4 linked regions of the Danio rerio genome follow. The protein of the gene in region 2 purifies or fractionates together with the protein of the main gene of each other region. This does not show direct contact. Links are inferred from orthologs where the notes say so. Each region holds a gene or a part of one and is shown on either strand. Other genes may lie near its edges.

What was found.
Region 1: the proteins of lrwd1 (region 2) and orc3 purify together in Homo sapiens (affinity purification with mass spectrometry; 4 studies listed by BioGRID and IntAct, with this or other methods). This does not show direct contact. The link is inferred for Danio rerio from reciprocal best matches to the Homo sapiens genes LRWD1 and ORC3.
Region 3: the proteins of lrwd1 (region 2) and orc4 purify together in Homo sapiens (affinity purification with mass spectrometry; 3 studies listed by BioGRID and IntAct, with this or other methods). This does not show direct contact. The link is inferred for Danio rerio from reciprocal best matches to the Homo sapiens genes LRWD1 and ORC4.
Region 4: the proteins of lrwd1 (region 2) and orc5 purify together in Homo sapiens (affinity purification with mass spectrometry; 4 studies listed by BioGRID and IntAct, with this or other methods). This does not show direct contact. The link is inferred for Danio rerio from reciprocal best matches to the Homo sapiens genes LRWD1 and ORC5.

What each region holds. Positions count from the first base shown.
Region 1 is NC_133192.1:55,381,950-55,386,441, forward strand, and holds the end of orc3 (origin recognition complex subunit 3), read right to left. Parts: intron 3,422-4,492; coding exon 3,305-3,421; intron 3,209-3,304; coding exon 3,129-3,208; intron 1,689-3,128; coding exon 1,583-1,688; 3' UTR 1,422-1,582; downstream 1-1,421. UniProt on the Homo sapiens protein: Component of the origin recognition complex (ORC) that binds origins of replication. DNA-binding is ATP-dependent. The specific DNA sequences that define origins of replication have not been identified yet.
Region 2 is NC_133180.1:67,369,711-67,375,605, reverse strand, and holds the start of lrwd1 (leucine-rich repeat and WD repeat-containing protein 1), read right to left. Parts: upstream 3,798-5,895; coding exon 3,718-3,797; intron 1-3,717. UniProt on the Homo sapiens protein: Required for G1/S transition. Recruits and stabilizes the origin recognition complex (ORC) onto chromatin during G1 to establish pre-replication complex (preRC) and to heterochromatic sites in post-replicated cells.
Region 3 is NC_133181.1:1,844,610-1,849,879, forward strand, and holds part of orc4 (origin recognition complex subunit 4), read right to left. Parts: intron 3,377-5,270; coding exon 3,301-3,376; intron 1,815-3,300; coding exon 1,729-1,814; intron 1,367-1,728; coding exon 1,318-1,366; intron 204-1,317; coding exon 52-203; intron 1-51. UniProt on the Homo sapiens protein: Component of the origin recognition complex (ORC) that binds origins of replication. DNA-binding is ATP-dependent. The specific DNA sequences that define origins of replication have not been identified yet.
Region 4 is NC_133179.1:22,959,014-22,964,975, forward strand, and holds the start of orc5 (origin recognition complex subunit 5), read right to left. Parts: upstream 4,343-5,962; 5' UTR 4,248-4,342; exon of another isoform or gene 4,160-4,247; intron 3,963-4,159; 5' UTR 3,960-3,962; coding exon 3,846-3,959; intron 2,411-3,845; coding exon 2,318-2,410; intron 1,567-2,317; coding exon 1,381-1,566; intron 822-1,380; coding exon 747-821; intron 564-746; coding exon 452-563; intron 115-451; coding exon 1-114. UniProt on the Homo sapiens protein: Component of the origin recognition complex (ORC) that binds origins of replication. DNA-binding is ATP-dependent. The specific DNA sequences that define origins of replication have not been identified yet.

The sequences.
Region 1 (4,492 bases), on a different chromosome or scaffold from region 2:
AATCCTTCTGCGCATGTCTGGCTCCAATTTCAGCAGTCTTTTGCGACAGTTTGTGCACGTCAAGCAGGCGTTTTGCCCTCAAGGCGTTCAATGGGAAAAAGGGCTGTCGCGTCGTCCATATTTTTTACAGTCATTGGTTTTGAACCTCACATCAACAACCACGTGATGACAGTACGCAGGTGCAGACCAACGTAAGCATCTGTAGCCAACCTACCGTGATAAGCTAATAAATCACGGAGACTGTCATTTCTCTCCTGTTTCACACATACTAAATTAGTCTACTATTAGATGTTTTACTGTGGACCACTGTGCTTCCCTATCGTCATTAAGCACACTGGCTGAAAATTTAATTTCCTTTTATGGAAGGCCTTAATTTAACGGATTTTAATTTAAGACATTTTAAGACTTTTTAAGGACCCGCGGGAACCCCGATAGCGCATGAGTGCATATAGTGTATAGTGTGCCATTTGGGACGCAGCTTTTCTCAGAGTAATCTTATAAACTAGACCACGTATGGTGCGTGACAGCCTTGAAAAGACTGCGCAGTACAGCAAGCAGGCGCGCAATGAGGAAAACTAGACACAGCATCAAAAATGTTCACGCGCAATGACAAGAAATAATATAGGTCGTGCCACCAAACACATGAAAACGAAAGAAACGAGCCCGATTAAAAAAATGTAAGAAGTAGAAAGTCCAGATATTTGTGTAAAAATATAAGAAGTAAAAGTAAAAAGTTGTCAGAAAAATCAGTAGTGGAATAAAGTACTGACACCAGAAAAATTTACTTAAGTACAGTAACAAAGTACAAATACTTCAAATACAAGTATTTGTACTTTGTTACTTCCCATCTCTGGTTGTGACATCTCTACACAGTAGTTTTTTCCAGAAAGATTTAGGCTTGTCCACATGAGTCTTTGCATACCTCAAACCAGGGGCCTAGCGAACATTTTAAAAGTATGGGGGCAGGGGGGGTTGAGTAGCTGTATGAGATCAAAATGGTAATGTTAGTATAATTATTAATCACCTGTTTCTAAATGATTAGTCTCTAAAAGTGAGGGGGACGTACAAACACCCCCCCCCCCCCCCCCCCAACATAAATTTGCTAGCCCCCAGCCTCAAACAACTCTTTTTGTTGGCAGAATGCAGTAAAGTCTTCTGCATCACCTTCCATTGAGCTGTTCTTTGTGGAGACTGTGGAACAAAGCACAATAACATTACTAGCAGCAAGATGTTCCTGGAGCTCCTTGAGGTGGTCTGTGGTTTGTCTGTGACCATTCTATCCATTGTTCACCTTAATCTTTCAGATATTTTTCTTTTCTTTTCTTCACAAGAACTGTTCCTGTGGCCTTCCATTTTCTTACTATATTTCTGACTGTGGAGACTGTGGACTGACATCTAAAGTCTTATTTAAAAAAAAACTATTCAGAGGTTCAAACAGAATAATTTTTTTTTATTTCAATGGCATTTTTACAAGTACAACATGAATTTTTAAAAGTTTAATTGCAATAAAGCTCACAGTACAAAATACCATTGACCTGATTTATGAATGTCAGGCCAGTCTGTTGTGTTCAGGGAGTTTTCTTCAACATCCTCCCCATGTCAGTCTTGCCACATGGTCCGTTTTCTGTTTTGTTGATTTAACAAAACCAAGAAATTCCATCTCAGACACGGCCTGAATGAACCGAGCACTGTTAAATGTTAAGACCAATACATACTACAGCAGGCATGTCCAAACTACGGCCCGCGGGCCATCTGCGGCCCGCAATCAGTTTTGTGGCGGCCCGCGAGGCTTTTTATAAATACCAATAGAATCTGGCCCGCTACACAAAAAATGAATGTAATTCAATAAATAACCACCGGGTGTCGCTATTACACGCATTCAATTAAGCAGCAGTTCTTGTTATGATCTATCTATCTATCTATCTATCTATCTATCTATCTATCTATCTATCTATCTATCTATCTATCTATCTATCTATCTATTAAATTTATGATTTATTTCTTCTTTTTTAAATATTTCCCAAATGATGTTTAACAGAGCAAGGAAATTTTCACAGTGTGTCTGATAATATTTTTTCTTCTGGAGGAAGACTTGTTTGTTTTATTTCGGCTAGAATAAAAGCAGTTTTTAATTTTTTATGAACTAAAATAAATTATTTTTTATTAGCCCCTTAAGTCTTGAAACTTACAGAAATTTACCGTAAAATAACATACATTAAATTACAGAAATTTTCTTAAATATAAATTTCTGTAAATCAACCTGTTATTTTACAGTACATTTCTGTAATTCAACCGGCACCCCAGCTGTCGGAAGTAAACCATAAAAAAATTAAAGATTTTTTTACAGTGTATAATGTTGGATCACAAGATAATGTGTCTGGATTAATATTTTATTTTATGTTAAGTTAAAGATATTTTCAACACATAAATATACCAAGTAAAACTTACTGATGGTGAAATGAACATTTCTGAACCAGTGATCCGTTTTACTCAATTGTATCAGAGAAAGGTTCGTTACTCGAACAAACCATTGTTGCCTAATTAACTTGCCTAATTACCTTAATTTGACTAGTTAACTAACCCTGTTAAGTGTTTAAAAGTCACTTTAAGCGGTATAGAAGTGTCTTGAAAAATATCTAGTCAAATATTATTTACTGTCATCATGGCAAAGATAAAATAAATCAGTATCTAGAAATGAGTTACTAAAACTATTATGTTTAGAAATGTGTGGAAAAAAATAGTTCTCTCCGTTAAACAGAAATTGGGGAAAAAATAAACAGGGGGGCTAATAATTTAGGGGGGCTAACAATTCTGACTTCAACTGTATATATATATATATATATATATATATATATATATATATATATATATATATATATATATATATATATATATATACACACACACATTTATATATGCGTGTCTGTGTTATGTATGTAAAATTTGGCCCGCGACAACGTATTTTTTTTTTGCATCTGGCCCTCGGCCCAAAAAGTTTGAACACCCCTGTACTACAGGAATAACCATACAATTAATATTAGATTTATGACAGACACAGCTAAAATTGACATATATTCAATTAGGAACACATTCATTGCTAATATAAGATGTCAGAAGTAAAAGGATACTGTTTAAGGCTATCAAGCTGTCCATGATCCCCAGAATCAGCATCTTGGTCCTCAGCGGCAGACAGCACAGTTACAAATGCCTGGAAATACAACATGGATATCTGCCATCAACATGCACAAAGATAACCACCTCTACAGTATGTGTCATTTTGATTTTAACCATGTTCATACAGTACCTCAAGCCAATCATAGAGATTTATGAGTCTCCCACACTCAAGATGAAGCTTGTATACAATGCAGAGGTCTGGAGCAGCGCTGGAGATTGTGCCAGCATTAGTTTTCAGACTTTCATTCTGCAACAACAACAGAACACAGTAACAACTCTGGATCTATATATTAGGGCTGGGAAACTTAAAGAGCCCATATTATGGGTTTTTGAAAATTCCCCTCCATGTAGTGTGTAACACAGCTCTAAGTGAAGTTAAGTATCCAGCTAAATCTGTAAGAGTACAGTGTTTTAAACGGTTGATTCATCTATAAAAGAGTCGACTCATAGTGCTTCAAACGAGTCGCCTTGATACCGAGTCATTAGGTGTTTCGCCATGACGTACTAACGAAAGCAAGTTATGCACGCGCAAACCCGGGAGATTTGAAACCTGCGGCCCCGCCCTCTAACACAGAAACCCACACACACACACCCACAAACACACACACACACAAACATGCCGGTCGATTGAAGTCACACTGCAGATGGATATTATATCGAGTCTCTACCCAAAGATGAAACCTCAGCATTATAACCAAGCAGTTGGAAACTACTGGAAGCTTCTGCAAACTACATGCTACAAAGAATACTTCATCGGCGTTTGTTAAAGGAAGGATCAGTAAAGAGTAACTTACTGATGGACGTCAGGATGGGTTTCTTCCTCCATTCTCAAGTGTAAGTACGTGCGATTAAAGTTGCCTCGTTGACTCTAGCTTGCAAATGTATTTAGTTGTGATTTGTTACTTGTAACCGCGTGTACTGTATCAGGTTAACTGGCTATATTCTCTTATCGCGTGCAAAGTCACGTTAAAAACGAGACGCGTGCTGCTTTGTTTACGGAGCTCCATGGCAAGAGTAGTGTGTGTGTGTGCGTGCGCTGTCGTCCGGAGGTAGGTGTGTGTGTTTGTGTGTGTGTGTGCGCGCGTTGTCGCCCGGAGGTGTGTGTGTGTGTGTGTGTGTGTGTGTGCGCGGACGAGGGCAATGTGTGTGTGTGTTTGTGTCTGTGAAAAGAGCAGAGTGAGACAAGCTATGTGATCTCCTCGACAGTTTTTGGAGTTTTTGCTTAATAAAATAGTTAATCGTCTGAATTTTCAAGTCCATCTCTGTATTTACATTCACCCACTGGCAGCTAAAATCCACGCCTACACTATCGAGCGTG
Region 2 (5,895 bases):
ATCGGCTGTCCATTGGATCTTATTGCTGTTGCGATGGCAAGCAGCTGCTTTGTTTTTTATTTATTTATTTATTTTAAAACGCGCATTAAAGCTGAGATACAACCTGAAAGATGCCAATACAACACTTAACATTATAATCATCAGCACTTTTAATAGTTTATTTTACATACTTATAATATGTTGTTGTTCTATTGACCTTATTCTAAAATGCGGAAGTGCGCCTGTTTTCGCGATCGTCTTAGAACTTCCGATTCAGTCGCCTATGGGAGAAATGAATAATAGGAATAATAAACGGCAGAAAACGGTTAAACTACTTGCTCTACAAACAAATGTTTGCATGACTACACAGACCAAGTAGAATAATATAATAAGAAAATATCAAATTGCAACATCAAGCAGCGTAATGAGCAGTTTTTAACGTCAAAAAATGAATGGAAGTGAATGAGACAGGAAGTCTCAAGCCAAAAGGATTCAAATGGCAGCGCCCCCTCGTCGGCGGAGAATAAGGTGAATTGGAGTTTTCATGCCAAAATGGCCGCCACGCCATCTAGAGGCTGTTTCCCAAATTGCACTAGAGTGTTGCCTCTTGGTGATTCTATGCTCTTTGGTTTGAGTGAATTCACAACCCGTTTAAATCAACATAACATGCAAATTAGGTATGTTTTGATGCTAGTTTATGCTGGTATTTGGAGGGTCATGTGACGGCAAATGTAGGAGGAGCAAAGAATCAGCTAGGAACCAGCATTAAAACATACCTAACCAGAATATGCTTGTCTTTTTAACAGGTCATAAAGCTTGGAGTAAAAAAACGTAATCTCCAAATAGGCCTCAAAGCACCAGGCCTCAAAAAACCCAAAGTTTAGTGAATTTAGAACAGATCTAAATGTTATCAGATCTAATGAATATATATTTTTATGTGTTCTACCAGTGTTGGAAAATGCTATTGTAAAAAGTAATGCATTACAATATTGAGTTACTCCCAAAATAACTAACTAGTTGCGTTACCTATTTACTTTTATGGTAAGTAATACGATACGTTTCTTTTTTTTTTAGATTTATTTTTGGCCTTTTTGCCTTTATTAGATAGGACAGTATTGAGACAGGAAGCGAAGTGGGAGAGAGAGAGGGGGTAGGGTAGGGAAATATCGTCGAGCCGGGATTCGAACTCGCGACGCCCTGACGTGCTATTGCACCATATGTCAGCACGCTAACCACAGTTTTTCTGACCTGGCTGAGGCTTGATCTCTTTTGAAACTTGCAGTGTTTTTTTCACCTTTTTTTAATAGAGTAATTAACAACACACTGTATAACAGGGCTTTTCAAAATCCAGACTCCGGTCCGGATCGGGTATTCAATCCGGACCCGGTTACATTTCAAGAGTTTCCACTTAGATATGCTCAGCATTTATAGCAGGTTTGGCATGCTGTCCCGGGAAAGAGCCCAGAGCTCGGAGATATTTGAGCCCACGGCTCCCGCCCGGTCAAAAAACATATCAGGAGAACCGAGATCATGTAGGTCTCAAGAGCTCCCTCTTTAGAAAAGGGAGGAAAAGGAGGAGATGCGGTGGAAGGGGGATTCTTCCAAAACGAAGATAGAACAGTAGGGAGAAAATTATCCATTAATAGTAAACTAGGATCACTCTGATTAGATTATTACTGATTACAGACGAGCAGCCAGTCGTGCTTAATCATATCATGTGCTCCTCTTAGAAATTAGTTCATGAAACTTTACTTCGTATTGCAAGACCATGCGTAAAGGATTCAAATTGTGGATTACATTCATTGAGAAATGCATTAACCTTGTAAATCAACAGTTTAGTTAAAAATTATACCATGAGTTGCATACGTTGGCACACGCGTTTTAATTCAAAATCATTGAGCACAATAACATGCACACAGCCAAGTGTAGTGTTCATGTAGATGTAACTGTTTAGATTTTACAATCCTTATCAAAATAAACTGTCAAATCGTACATACAGTACAGCTGAGGTCAAAAGTTATGATTAATCTAAAACATTTTTTCTTAATTTTTTATTATTGATTATTAAATAATTATTTTGCCAAAATAAGAGAGAGATCAGACAAAATGTATGTTTATGTAAGTACAATATATATTCAGATAAATAGAAAATAATTTTTGGATAAAAAAATTCCCTTATATGACTTTTATATACTTGATTATAAAGATTCTTAACCCTGTTAAAGCTGACACATGAACAAATAGTCATTATATTCTGAAATGTTTATTAATCCTTCTATCAAGATCCATTTTTATACCATATAGATGTTTTTATGAATTTATTTTGTGCCATATTATTATTATTCCCTTTATTTTACCAGAAAAGACGAATTGAGATTAAAAATCTCTTTTACAAGAGAGTCCTGGCCAAAATTAGGCCGTACACAAGTTACATGAGTCCAACAGACAACAAACAAAAAAACAACTTAGTTAACAAGAATCACACTGAGAAACTATTCAAAACATCTACAATCCTGTTTCAACTTCTAAATCTTTTATAGTCTTTTTAAAAGCATTTAGTGAAATCAATTCTTTGAACTGCAACTGTGTTTGCAGATTATTCCAAGCAAAAGGTGCTGCGTACTTAAAAGCCTTTTTTCCCCATCTCAGTCCGCACTTTAGGAACAGACAGCAAATAAATATCCTGTGATATACGTAGACCATATTTAAGAACAGGCTTTTTACAAATGTAATTCTGTAGATATGATGGGAGTAAACCCAGTATAGATTTGTAAACAAGAATATGCCAATGCTTGAGCCTACGAATGGACAAAGCAGACCAACCTACCCTAGTATACAGCACACAATGATGAGTAAGGGATATAAAATTAGTTATAAATCTTAGTGCACCATGGTAAACAGTATCCAATGCATTCAGCATTGAGACGAAGCATGAATATATATAACATCACCTTAGTACAATGTCGACATGAATGTTGCCTCAACCAGCTTCTTTTTAGCATCAAAAGAAAGGCAGTTCTTAATTCTAAAATAAAAGCCTAAATATTAATTCATCAGGCCTTTTGGTAACTTTTTTTGCTCAAAACTATTTGAATTTTAGTTACCAAAAAGTTCGCCCATAACATTTTGATAAAAAGAACATTTTAGGCAGGTTTTCTCTGCTTATTTCTTACACTAAACAGTTTACAGTCTTTTTTATTTAACTTTGTGAGAGGTGTAAGAGCAGTTTCAGTCAATTGTTCATGCAAAGACAGACCTTACACCTCGCATATGAGAAGTAATTGCATTGTTGTGTTATTTTGCCCTTTAGGACTACCAAATCTATCATTTTGTTTTCACAATTGTACAAAAAGTACAGAAGCAAGGTATTTAGTGAGGGAATTCAACTGAGAAGAGGTTTGGGTTGGAATAAGATGTAATTCCTTGCGACAGGCTAAGTGTAAATATACTTTTACTACATCATACTATTTCATTTGTGTTCAGAACTGCGAATGTATTTGTTTGAATCATGTTGATGAGGAAAACATATCTTTAATTTATTTATGGAAATTTTTAGCACTATCACTTTCCTGTTACAAGACTTGAACCCGCATACCCCTCAGTAAAGCTGTAGTTGCGCCACTGTGCGTTACCCCCAACACTGTTGATATGGCAACTACCTTCAGTCATTTTGATGTGTGCAAGTGTTTATATCTGTGTTATAACGTGTGTGGTGTGTCAACAAATGAACTTTCTTACTTGAGGGTCTTGATCTGGTCCAGTTTGTTCGTCTTTGTAGAGCTTTTCTCCAGCAGTATCTTCTCGGTAATCTTCTCCATGGCTGCATTCGGTGAAAATGTGAGTGTTGTGTTCAAAGCAGATCTTATAATGTCAGGCTGCAATGATTAAAGGTTTCAGAGACTCACTGGGGCTTTTGCTATTGGATATTGAGGTGTCAGAAACTCAAAGTATCTGGTATTATTATGCAATGTTACGGGGCGATTGTCCTGTTCTCACAGCTGATGGGCGATCAAAACACAGGAGATGGTCGTGAAACCTTTGTGTACTTATTATGAAGTTTGCAAGCCGAAAGTAAAAGTGCCAAACAAAGAAAAACATTTAACCAGTTAACTGAGAAAGCATGCTTTAAAAAAAAAAGTAAATTAGAAATCGAAGCTTTTGCTCACACAAAGAGTACTCAAAGTAAAATAACTTGCATACATCTGAAGATGTTTACGTGTTGTGTATATTTCCTTAATAACGTGTTTATTAAGAAACTAAAAGACAGAAATTAATGTTGTAATTTTAGTTTATATCGTGAGACTACGGTTTAGTTTGATCACATTATAAGTTAACGTTAGTGGTAAAACAGGCATTGTTCTAAAAATATTTTTGTTTCACAACTTACCCGTAATATGCATGCAGACCACAGACTGTAACAAATAGATGCAGACCAAATGTATTCTTTAGATATACAACACAACACTCGCAGACATGTGGTAGATTTAACGTCAGATCGTTTTCCCGGGAAACTACAAATGAACTTTGACCAGCTTCGACGTAAAATGTTTTGGCGTCCCAAATCCGCCATGTTGAGTGTGTCACTATCACATGTATAAATGTGTAATAAATATAATATAAATAACACATATAAAGCAGTGTGCCTGAACCAAAGTGAACTTCCAAAAAGTCACAATAAATGAACACATTTAAATGCTAAAAATAAAACGAGATATTGTATAAGTTAATGTTCATTTATTGTTGTTTGGTGAATGTCAAGTTGTTTGCAGTCACGTGGTTCTGGTGACGAAATTCAGATAGTAAAAAACTGAAGGATATTTGATGACAGATTGGGAACAGTTTTGGCTTCTTCAGAAAAAATATATATTTTTATCTAATAAAGCTATTGAATATGAGGTGCCGTATAGGATTTAAATCAAACTTTGCTTATCAACACATACATAAAACACGTGTATATACACCTATAAATTACTCGCATATACACCTATACTACTGGATGTTCAAAACAACATGGATGAAACTTGTGTATATACATATAAACTTGACGCATGAATACACCCACATACACACGCACATACATATAAACTCGATCCTCACATAAACACTCACATTAACACACGCACATACATATAAACTTGCTGCATGCAAACACACCTATACACACTTGCATATACATATAAACTTGATCTATGCATATACACCCATAAACTCTCACATAAGAATATAAACTTGATGTGTGCATAAACAACCAAATGACACTTGTGCAAACATACAAAATAAAATTCACAAACATATATACAGTTAGTTGTGTATATACATATATGCAAGTGATTTCATATGTGTGTATGCATGAATTTTCACAGTAAAAGGAAGTTATTTCACTTTAAAAGGAAGTCGTTCAATTTCAACGTAAAAGTCCTTTGAGTGTAATGAACAAGATTATTATTTGTCATGAATCAGGTTATTGCAAACCTTAAGAAACATAAATAATGTGATTATTAGAGGAATTACATCTGTTGAAATATGAAAATAGATTATGCTAATTATAAAAAATAAATAAATAAAAAGGTAATGCAAAGGAAGGCTCCTGCAAAATTAAAGGTTTATTATGCAATTAAATTATTGGAAATGTTATTATGGTTTAATAAATATAAAGTTGCTTAAGTAATCACTTTGAATAAAATATGTTTGTCTAATATTAGTTTTTTATGTTTGTTTTATTATTGGTGTCACTATTCGTCAAGGGTTATGATACACACTTATGTCCAGTAGGGGGCAGGAATGCACTTAAGTGGGTTTTCCTGTCACCAATAAACAGGCTAATGCACCAAAATGCTGGATGCCAGCTGCTGTAAAAATATAAGTAGTAGTTATTCAACACAAAAGGAGTGTCCAAATAATATATATAGCTTTTCC
Region 3 (5,270 bases), on a different chromosome or scaffold from region 2:
CATCATTACATCATCGAAGATGTCTGCTGGCTGTTTTGTATGAAGCCGCACCAGTCTGCAGGTGAGTCCGACCACAGCCACAGGCGTCTGCGCAGACTGAGAAACGTCCAGCAGATTGTAGAGCAGCGTCTGGTTCTTATGATGAGCAAACAGATCAAACTCATCCAGCAAGAAGAGCACAGGACGACTACTGCTCTTATCACCTGACAACACAGCACAATAAAGCTTAAAAATAAATGCATCACCCTTAAACCTACCCATACCACCAAACCTGTCCCTAACCTGACCTGTATCCCACCCTAAGAGCACCACAAGTGTTCTGCAAAACATTATGAACAGTAAGTACACTGTATTTATTTTCTAATGCAAGTAGTGGTTAAGGCCACTTGATATAAAGTGGGAGCCTTTTTAATATGACAAAATCAAATGGTGCACAACAAACTAGACTAAAACTAGACGTGTTGCATGAAGCATTAAATAAGCAATAAGATTAGAACCGCAAATTAAAAGTACTTTTGTTTTTTGGTTTATTTATTGTCACATCAGCACCTTATGGCTTATTTCATGACTAGATTATTATATTTTCAGTAAGAGATGATACAAAAATGTTAATATTAAATAAATAAAATGTTTTAATTTTACATTACATTTTTCAGATAAAATAAATTATATTATTAAAACTTATTTGAAGTAAATAAATATAAAGAAATACAAAAACTAACGGTAGAATCAAAACATAAGCATAAACAAACATCAAAAACATATTACATGATAATAACTTCATCATTTATTAAAGATTATGCTTTTTTTAATATTACATTATATAGATATGCTTTTTCAGTTTGATATCTATGATGATCAATAATGTAAAATTCTTTAAAATATATCAATAATGTAAAAAAAACTTTAAAAGTAAATAAATATATAGGAAACTAAAATTATATACATAAAATGATTAAAACCTAAACTAAACTACAACTAAATGGACAAAAATAAATAAATAATAAGTTATTAATTATCAATGAAATAAATTCAAATTGTAGTACAGTATTATAAATAAATGTATGTATATATACACATGTATATACACATGTATATACATATATATATATATATATATATATATATATATATATATATATATATATATGTGTGTATATATATATATATATATATATATATATATATATATATATACACACACACACGTATGTATATAAATATGTATATATATATATATATATATATATATATATATATATATATATACATACATACACACACACACAGATAACATAAAAACAACTGAAGCTTCACCTTTCTTGAGAGCCTCCAAAAGAAAAGCCAGATTTTCCGCAAAACTGCCCTGAAACACAAAAAAACCATCAGTATAAAAACATGAAAGGGTTAGTTCACTTAACAATTTAATTCTGTCATCATTTGCACACTTTTTAACATGTTTCAAACCTTCATGAGATCCTTTCTTCTGATGAACACAAAAGAAGATATTTTGGAAAATGTTGGAAACCGGTAACCATTGACCTCAATTGTATTTGTTTTTCTTACTGTGTCAGTCAATGGTTACAGGTTTCCAACAATCTTCTTTGTGTTTAACAGAAGTAAGAAACTCGTAAAGGTTTTGAACTACTTGAGGGTCAGTAAATATTAAGTACATTTTCATTTCTGGGTGAACTGCCCAATATCAGAATACTAATATCTGAAACTCACAAACACTTTGTCTCCTACGACGTTCTCCAGATGCAGCTGCCGCGTGATTTCTTTCAGAGCAATTTTATCATCCGTCTGCAGAAGACCTGCATTCAGAAAGCCAGATGCTGAGTTTCCATGCACCCATTTTAAACCACATTTTGGAACTTTGCAATAAAAAATGTATAATAGAAACACCAAGATATTAGACCAGAATAACAATCCTATGCCGACAATTGAGTAGGATAAACTTTTTAGCAGATAAAAAAACTATGATGGAAAAAATTGTACTGAATAAACTTCATTTATGCGCATCAGAAAAGCAATGAACAATACATCTAACTTTATTTATTATTTTTGTTACAGCTTGTTATTGAAATATTGAAAAAAATTAATTGTGAAATTAGACAAAACTATTGGAGCTGAATGAGGAACATTAATAAAACAAAAACAGCAAGATTAATTAAATCTGCAAGCACAAATGTTGAATTTGAACGTCTCTAGCATACAGCAGGCTACCGGGTGTTTTCCAGTAAATGCCAGCAATATTTTACTAATATAGTGCACATGTGCATGTGCTCGATCAATCTGCGTGCTGTGATGTAGTTTTTGCCAGATGCTTCTATTATTATTCTCTCTAGGACTGTCTTGAGCATCTGTCTGCGCTCATGTCTTACGCCTCCCAAGGCCACCACATTCACTATATATTGGTTTTGTCTTCGTTTTCTGAGGCGCAACTCATTTATAAGAGAAGAAACACCACAGTAGCAAATCCCAGCACATCAAACTACACTTCTCTCAGCAATATCTGTGCAAGTTTAGCAGGAACTGAGGATTTTCTTCTCTTATTTCTCATTAGACTGAAACACTGATTTATTCACTATTGTGTTATTCCATATGCACATTAGTCACATGTGTGCATTATTAATTCATATCTTTATGATGGAAGCATAGCGTATCATATAACAACATAAAAACAACATGACCTTTTCACCTTTTAATGACTGAATTCTACTTATTCAAAAGGGGGTGTGAACTTACACACACATTTTTTCACTACCTAATTTGGGAACACGTCTGAATAGACTCAAAGTAAACAACTTACACACACGCCCCGTCTCTTATCCATGAATGCACCAATTTCTGATCTAATCAGAGCATCCGACGTGTAGAAAAGAGCTGAGAAAAGCCTGTGATGAATTTTAGCTTGCGAAAAAAAGATTAAACATAACCATTTCTTAAGTATTAACTGCACTTATGTGTGCATTAAAAGCATTTTATTCTTTAAAAAACATTTATTGTGCTTCATCTTCGTCTTCTGGGGCACAACTCATTTATTAGAGGAGAAAAAACACCAGTGGCAAATCCCAACGGATCCAACTACACTTCTCTCAGCTATATTAGTGCAAGTTTATCAAGAAGTGCTGATTTTGTGCTCTTTTGTTTCTCATTAGACGTAAATGCTGCTTTATTCAGTAATGTTTTATGCGTTATTGCATATTTGCACATAAATCTAATGCATATCTTTGAATGCAAACGCAGCTCATGTTTAAAACAGAGTATAACACATTAAGATGATGTGCAGGATCTCACCGTTCAGCTCCACCAGCAGAACATTCTTCTGCACCTCCTTCAGACTCATGAGCTCTCGGAGAACACAACCCAACAACTGCACAACAAACAACACACACATTAGCAAACATCACAACACAAAGGCCACATAGAAATGCTCAGCTTATCTGGATTTAAAACACACTGATTGTTTTATTCTGTAACCGCTGATAACATTTCTTCTTAAAGTAAAACTGTTGTCATTTAGATAATTTTTGTGCATAAAATAACAAAAAGGAGCCTTGTTTTTTATATTTATATTCATTTCTCAGACAACACAATGCCAATGTTTTACAGAAGAGTACAAAAACTATATAAATGTCAAATACAGTTGAAACCAGAAGTCTACATACACTCTAAAAAAGGAACATAACCATTTTTTTTATGTCTGATGGTAAATCACTAAATGTTTACTATTTTAGGTCCGTTAGGATTAACTAAATCATTTACATTTGCTAAAGGCCAGAATAAGGAGAGGACTTTTTTTTTGAGAATTTTTTATTCATTTCTAGACAGTCAAAAGTTTACACACACTGCCTTGGTGTTTCTTAGCTTTGCTTTTAAACTGTATAACTTTGGTTAAATGTTTTGGGTCTCCTTCCACAAGCTTCTCACAATTTTTTTTTGGGGGGGGGGGGGGATTTGCCCCACTCCTCCTGACAGAATTGGTGTAACTGAGTCAGATTTGTAGGCTGTCTTGCTCACACAAGCTTTTTCATCTCTTCCCACACATTTTCTATAGGATTGACATCAGGGCTTTGTGATGGCCACTCCAAAACATTCACTCTGTTGTCCTTAAAGCACATTTGAACTAATTTGGCAGTATGCTTAGGGTCATGGTCTGTTTGGAAGAGCCATTTGTGGCCAAGTTTTAATCTCCTGGCTGATGTCTTGAGATGTTGCTTCAGTATTTCTCCATAATGTTCTGTCTTCATGATGCCAACTATGCTGTGAAGTGTACCAGTCCCTCCTGCAGCAAAACAGCCCCACATGATGCTGCCGCCCCCATACTTCACAGTAGGGATGGTGATCCAAGGCTTGTAAGCTTTCCTCTTTGTCCTCCAGATGTAACACTGCTCATTATGGCCAAACGGTTCAATTTTAGCTCCATCAGATCACAGGACATGTCTCAATAAATTTAGTTTTTTCCCCAGTGTCATTTAGCTAATTGTAATCTGGCTTTGTTGTTGATTCTGGCTTGTTGATTTTCCCATGTTGGTACACAAGGAATCAGTGTGTTTGAGCTTTTCCTTCAATACTATTCTACAGTTGTGTCTCCAATGAACTCAAATATGGTCAATTAGCCAATCAGAAACTTCCAGAACCTTGACACCATCATCTGAGCTTTTCCAGAGGCAGAATTATGTTACTGTATGTAAACTTGACTTTTAAGAAAAGTTATAGCAATTTCTCAAACAATATCGCTCTCATTATTCTGCTATTAAGCAGAACAGGAATATTTGATCATCCTAACTTACCTAAAAAAGAAAAAGTTTAATCACATTAACATCTGACTCTTTAAGTAAATTTTTTAATGCCTTTTTATACAGTGTAAGTAAACTTCTGGTTTCAACTGTATATATTATTAGAATGACTGTATATGGTAAATATAAATATATATTTTGGCTGGAAGGGCATCAGCTGTGTAAAACATATGCTGGAATAGTTGGCAGTTCATTCCACTGTGGCAACCCCTGATAAATAATGGAACTAAGCCGAAGGAAAATGGATGAATGAATAAAAAAGTACAAAAATGCCATGTTATTTTTATGTACTGCAATAAAAGACTACATAAATTATTTAATTGTATTATGTCATTATTTTATTAGGGTAAACATTTTCAAGGTTTGTATAACAAATGAATGTTGCAGCATAAACCTTCTTAAATCATTTCTTCTATTATGTGTCATATAAAGATATTTAATAAGACATGAGGGTGAGTAAATGATGAT
Region 4 (5,962 bases), on a different chromosome or scaffold from region 2:
TTAGATCCCTGCACACCGAGAAGAAAACCCCCAGCAAGATGTTTATGTAGGAGGCGTAGAGCTCAGGTGTGTAGGATGGGTGATGATCCTTTGACAGAATCTGCACAAGCTCCACTGTGGAAACCAGAAAACAGAAGTTTTCAGAGTGTTTCAAACACCCATCCAAATATTAACAGTGTCCTTGTCCTTGTTTGCAACCTGTATTAAAACTCACCTCATTGTGATTATATTGAGAAAGCACAAACGGTTTTACAAAAGCCCTCAAATGCCCGTTCTAGTTTAATCCCATCACAAATTTGATGTTTCAAGTAGAAGGTTCTTAGTTACATAAAACATAAATTGACAAATCTGATCTTTAGTCATGTTTATAAAACACTTTTATTTTGTGGTACAATTACATAATATAGTAAAAACAAAGCTCTTTATTGCATAATCAAAATCTGCCACTCACCTTTACTGTAATCTGGGAAATGAAAAAGCAGAGGTTCAAAGCAGCCGGTGTTAGGACGAAACTTTTCCCACACTATTTCGCTGAGTAAGATAATGGTCACATTATCATTTACCTGCAACAGATAGAAAATGCATCAATGATGGGAAGTTATTATATTTCCACATGTACTCTATTCTAACAAAATTTGTGGCTCTTATTAAGCATTGGCCTCTTTATAAATGGATGAGATTGTAACCCTGTTATAGTAAAGCATTAGCAAAATTGAGTGTGTGTGTGTGTGTGTGTGTGTGTGTACCAGTTCCTGTAGGCGCAGAAGAGCAGGAAGCAGGCTGAAATCCATATCTCTTATGCGTTCAGCTCGGTCCAGAACCTACAGAGACATTTAATAACTTACAGTATATGTTATCTTTAACATCAATGGCATAAAACAAACAAAAGTGTGGAAAAAATAAGACACCTTTTAGGCGGTCAACATGTAATATTCTATATATTTTATTTAACCAAATGTTGGCGAAAATATGACTAAAAATGATCTAAAAATATTAATTATTTATACTCAACTGTTGTCTTTTTCTGCAAATAAATTATGCAAATGATAATAATATTATCATTTGAAATAAAAAAAAAACATGTTATCAGTAGTTTAAAAAATATATAATAAAAACACAAAACATCTATGAATGGCAAATCTAGATAACTGATAATATTTTTATTAATAATTACTGATAATATGCACACTGTGGCATGTATACTGCAATATATACATCTGCAATATTTTGATAATTATGTATATATATACATAATGTATACAGTATGTGTGTGTGTGTGTGTGTGTGTATTGCATAGCCCTAATAATAACACCAAAATACTGACAAATCTCCAAACATAAGCAAAACCATTGAATGTTAAATATTAGAATGAAAACTCACTATATAGCGTGTCTGTGTGGCAGGTGTGTTGGAGCTCATCTGTTTGTACAGGCGTACAAAATCTGACAAAGACGGACAACGCGGAAGCAAAGCAGCTGAATCTGGTCCGAAAAGGGCGGACAACACCTGGTAAAACAGCAGTCCAGCGGACACGCACTCCACACAGTCCACTGAAGCATGAGGAAGCTGCAAAACACACACAACACCAAAATACAGCCATTGTCTTTCACTTCTGACACTAAACATGTTTACTCAAGAAACCTAAAATGAAGGCAGAAAAACACTAAATGGATTTTTTAAATTGAAGTAGTTTTGTTAAAAACAAATCATCCTATGTTTATTATTTTTATATATAGTTATATATAGTTTATATATAGTTTATATTGTGATTGATAAATGATCAATTACTAAATCGCTAAAGATAGAGGCCTCATGCTGAACTGAACTTATTTATATATACTTATTAAATGGACAAAGCACAAACAAAATTAAGTAAATAAAAACCTTTTTTTGTATGCAATTGCTTAACAGCACTAATATTAGATTTCCATAAGTCCCAAAACAGACAATTAATCCTCAAAGCTATTAATCGTCAGACAGATTTCATAACTGTGATGGCCCTAGCAAAAACATAAACATCACTTCTAACAGATGCATTACTAATGAAAAACAAATAAACAAGTTCAGCTCGAAATCAAAAAACCTGTTTGACTTACTTTGATATCCTCTGATAACAAAGCATTAGTCTGTGCCCATCATACACGACATCTGCAGCCTGATTCTGACTTATAGCTTAGCAGCATTGATTGTCAATATGGGAGGTGGGGGGGATATCTAGGCAAAAGTGATGTAATGTGCTTCTTCACCTGCATAAATGAGGACTTCTCCAGTTATATGGAAACTCGGGTTTCCATATAATCCTTTTTCATTATCTTACCTCCAGATCCTTCATGATGGTGAGCACCACATGACTCTTTCCCGTTGCTCTGTGCCCATAGATGAAAACTGAAGGATAGCTGTAGTGATCTGGCTGTTAATCAACAGAATAACCACAATTCAAGTTAACAACGAACATGTGACATATCACAACTGTCACTATATAATGCAACAATGCCAGTGTGCAGCATTAAGACAAATTGAACAAGAGTGTTTTTTTAAGAACTATTTTAAATACACTTTTCATATTTATGTGCATGTGAGATAGATATATATATATATATATATATATATATAAAGAAATCATGAAATATTATTTTTTATTCAGTTTTTAAAATCATGTGAGCTTTTAATGAACATGGTAAAAGGTTATAGCATCACAAACTTTTTTTGTCATTTACATAAAGATTTTTTTTGTTTGTTTTCAAAAAATGAAATTGGTCAGAACAATTAAAACATTAACTGTTTTCATTTGTCATAATTTAAAAAAGCAGTGTTATTGCACCAATTAGTTCTTGAACTATTTTTATTGCCGTTTTATATATAATACGTCATTTTAAGTAAGCTATTATAGTACACTTCTTCAATTGATTTTAGTTCAGTAATTGTTAATTATATATATGTAGCTTCTATACATATATGTAATTATTTATATATTGTAGTATGTTTATGTATATTTACTTTCATATTTACATTAAGTTGCATTATTATTACATTTCTTCTACAGTTTATAATGGTGTTTTTTTTTACATTTGATTGTTTTTATTATTTCTATAATTTATTACAAGAACATAAACAACAGTTAAGTATAAAGTAAACTATAACAAAAAATAATAATTCTGCCATTTAACTTTTTTATTATTATTATTGCAAGAACGATACAAACAAAACAATGCCAGAGGTATTAAAATAATAAAAAAACTAAATGAAATAAAATAATAGAAAAGGCTTAAAAAATATTACAATTAAATAATGCTAGGCCTTGCTAACTCACATTAACTTAAAAGTGTCAAACAAATACACGGTTTAAACAGCTATTTTGTTAGTACTTCCCTTAATGGTATTTATATAAATATTTAGTTCTTTAAGTACCACTAAAACAGAGGTTTCTGATTGCTAAATTAACATCGATGACATACATAATATCGATACATAACATAAGCTTCATTTTCCAACTTCTTATCATGGTTAAACCAAAAATAACATATTCATACAGTAAAAGAAAATTTGACAGCACTTAATCGTTTATAAATTTAGATACCTTCCCCCATAACAGTTTTGTGTATTGACAATGCCAGAAAATATAAGGTACTGTTTCTGGGTGAGATGAGCAAAACAATTGACATCCATTTTTTTAATACATCTGGTTAAAAAAAATGCTTAACAGGGTAAAATTAGTGTACTATCTTAAATGAGATTTCTTTGATTTTATTTGTAATTAAATATTTATTAGGTAATACCAAAAGTTTCCTCCAATCAGTATTTTGAGTAAACCAATAGAAAATTACATATTCTGCCATTTAACTTACCTGCCCCATGAGTGACAGCAGTGACGTCACCTGTGTCTCCCTGCATGGCAGTTTTTCAGCAAGGGTGCGCAGTGTGTCTTCAGGATAACCGGGACACTGCAGAGTTACAGGCATCCTCTGATCACAGCAAAACACATGCATTTAGTAAAGTGATAAAAACTACAGATGATAAAAAGCTCGGTTTAAAACCTTGAGCGCACACAGGTGTTTGAACAAACTTAAATGCAAAACCTAGATGTAGATTAGATATCGCATTATTAAAAATGATGCGTTCATTATTGAAGATTAATAACCATAACTGCTAGAACCTATACTGAGAGATATTCACACGTGGTCAAACTAGCAAAGCCCTAAACATAACACTTTTAAGCAAAAACCAGTAACAACAAGAAACATAAAAACCTGATACTCGAGCAAGTTGTGTATCAGCAGAAAGACATTACAATTTTTGGTTATATATTTTCAGCTTTCTTCCTGCACGGTAAACTTCACATCAGTTTCCCCGCTCAAGTCGCAACATACGTCACAAGCCGCATGCGTCACTTCCGGATACGGTACTCTGGGATATGTAGTTCTTGGCAGTTGCTCTTAAATTAATTTTTTATAACGTTTGAATCGGAGAATCTTTGGTCATAATTCTCGCGAAACTCACAGAGACACAAAAACGATTTTGGATACAATTTTATATCGGACTCTGTTTGATCACAGAGTCATGCCAGCGTCTCTTTTCTGAATCTCTCCTGTATCTGCTATGCGGACGGGAGTGACAGACGCAGACTGAATATTCGGGTGTGCCTGAAATCTGCGCTGTTCGCTCGAGCGCGCCTCATTGACAACCACACGCGCGGAATGAATCTTTTCATCCCTGCTTTTTTGCACTGAGTCGACATCACTTTGGTCAGGTGCAGTGGGTTTTCTTGCTCCGAGATGTGCGCGCAGGATTAAATCGGATGGAGCAGTGGTGCGCCGTTAAGCCAGAAGCCGAGAGGAGAGCGACATTTGCGTGTTGCAACTGTCTGTGCGTGTAAATCTGAGAAGAATGGACACGCAAAATATGATGCAGTGCAAGTGTCGTCATCCCAGCATCCGTTATTTCTGTTGAACGCAACAGCACGGCGAGACTGATCACGGAAAATCAGTCTTTTCCCATAGTAGCCTCGTGGAAACGACCATTTGGACTGTACAAGGTAGATTATTGCTTATATAAATGTACCCTTTAGTATATATATGTCTCATTCGCACACCATCCAAGCATTAATTTATTCGGGTCATCATTAAGTATTCATACTGACATTTGCGTTGGGAATATTATCTATGATGCGCTGGAATGCGTCGTCGTCATATGAGCAGTGTTTTCCTATGAGTTTAGTCATTATTTTTATGCTGTCCCGAGTGTGATTATTCACCTTAATGAGATTGCTTGGCTGAATGATGCGGATGCACAGACACTGAATGAGAGGAGAGCTGGAAGAGAACATCATTGGAGTCACGGACAGACTGCCACATCCACGCTGAACGAATCACTGTGACATCTGGCACCAAAACTGCTTAGTCTGTCGCGACATCTGTGAGCTGTTCTGTCTATACTTGAGTTTAGCTGGCACCCCAGGCAACAACCAAGTCCGGATTGAATATACAGAGGACCAAAAGTCCAAACTAAATGCAGAAAGGAGAGAGTCTACACTGAAACTACAGATGAGCTGGACCTGGACTGAATCCAGATAGGATCTGAATCCAAGCTGCATCTGAAAAGGACCAGATTGGGACTAAATCCAGACAGGGTCTGAATCCACACCGAATCCAAAAAGGACCAGATTAGGAATAAATTCAGATTAAATCTGAATCCACAATAAATCCATAAAGGAGCTAAATCTGAGCTGAATCCAGATTCTGGATAATTTTTTGCATCCACACTGAATCCATAAAGGATCTAAATCTGGACTACATTTGAATCCTGACGGACCCGAGTGCAGTTAAAACTGAATCCAGATAAATCAAGATAAAAAAATCAGAGCAAAATCCAGCTTCAATCCAGTCAAAATCCACAAAGGATTTGAGTACAATTTGAATCCACATTGGATCTAAATGAAGGCTGAAATTACATCTAGAGTTATTCT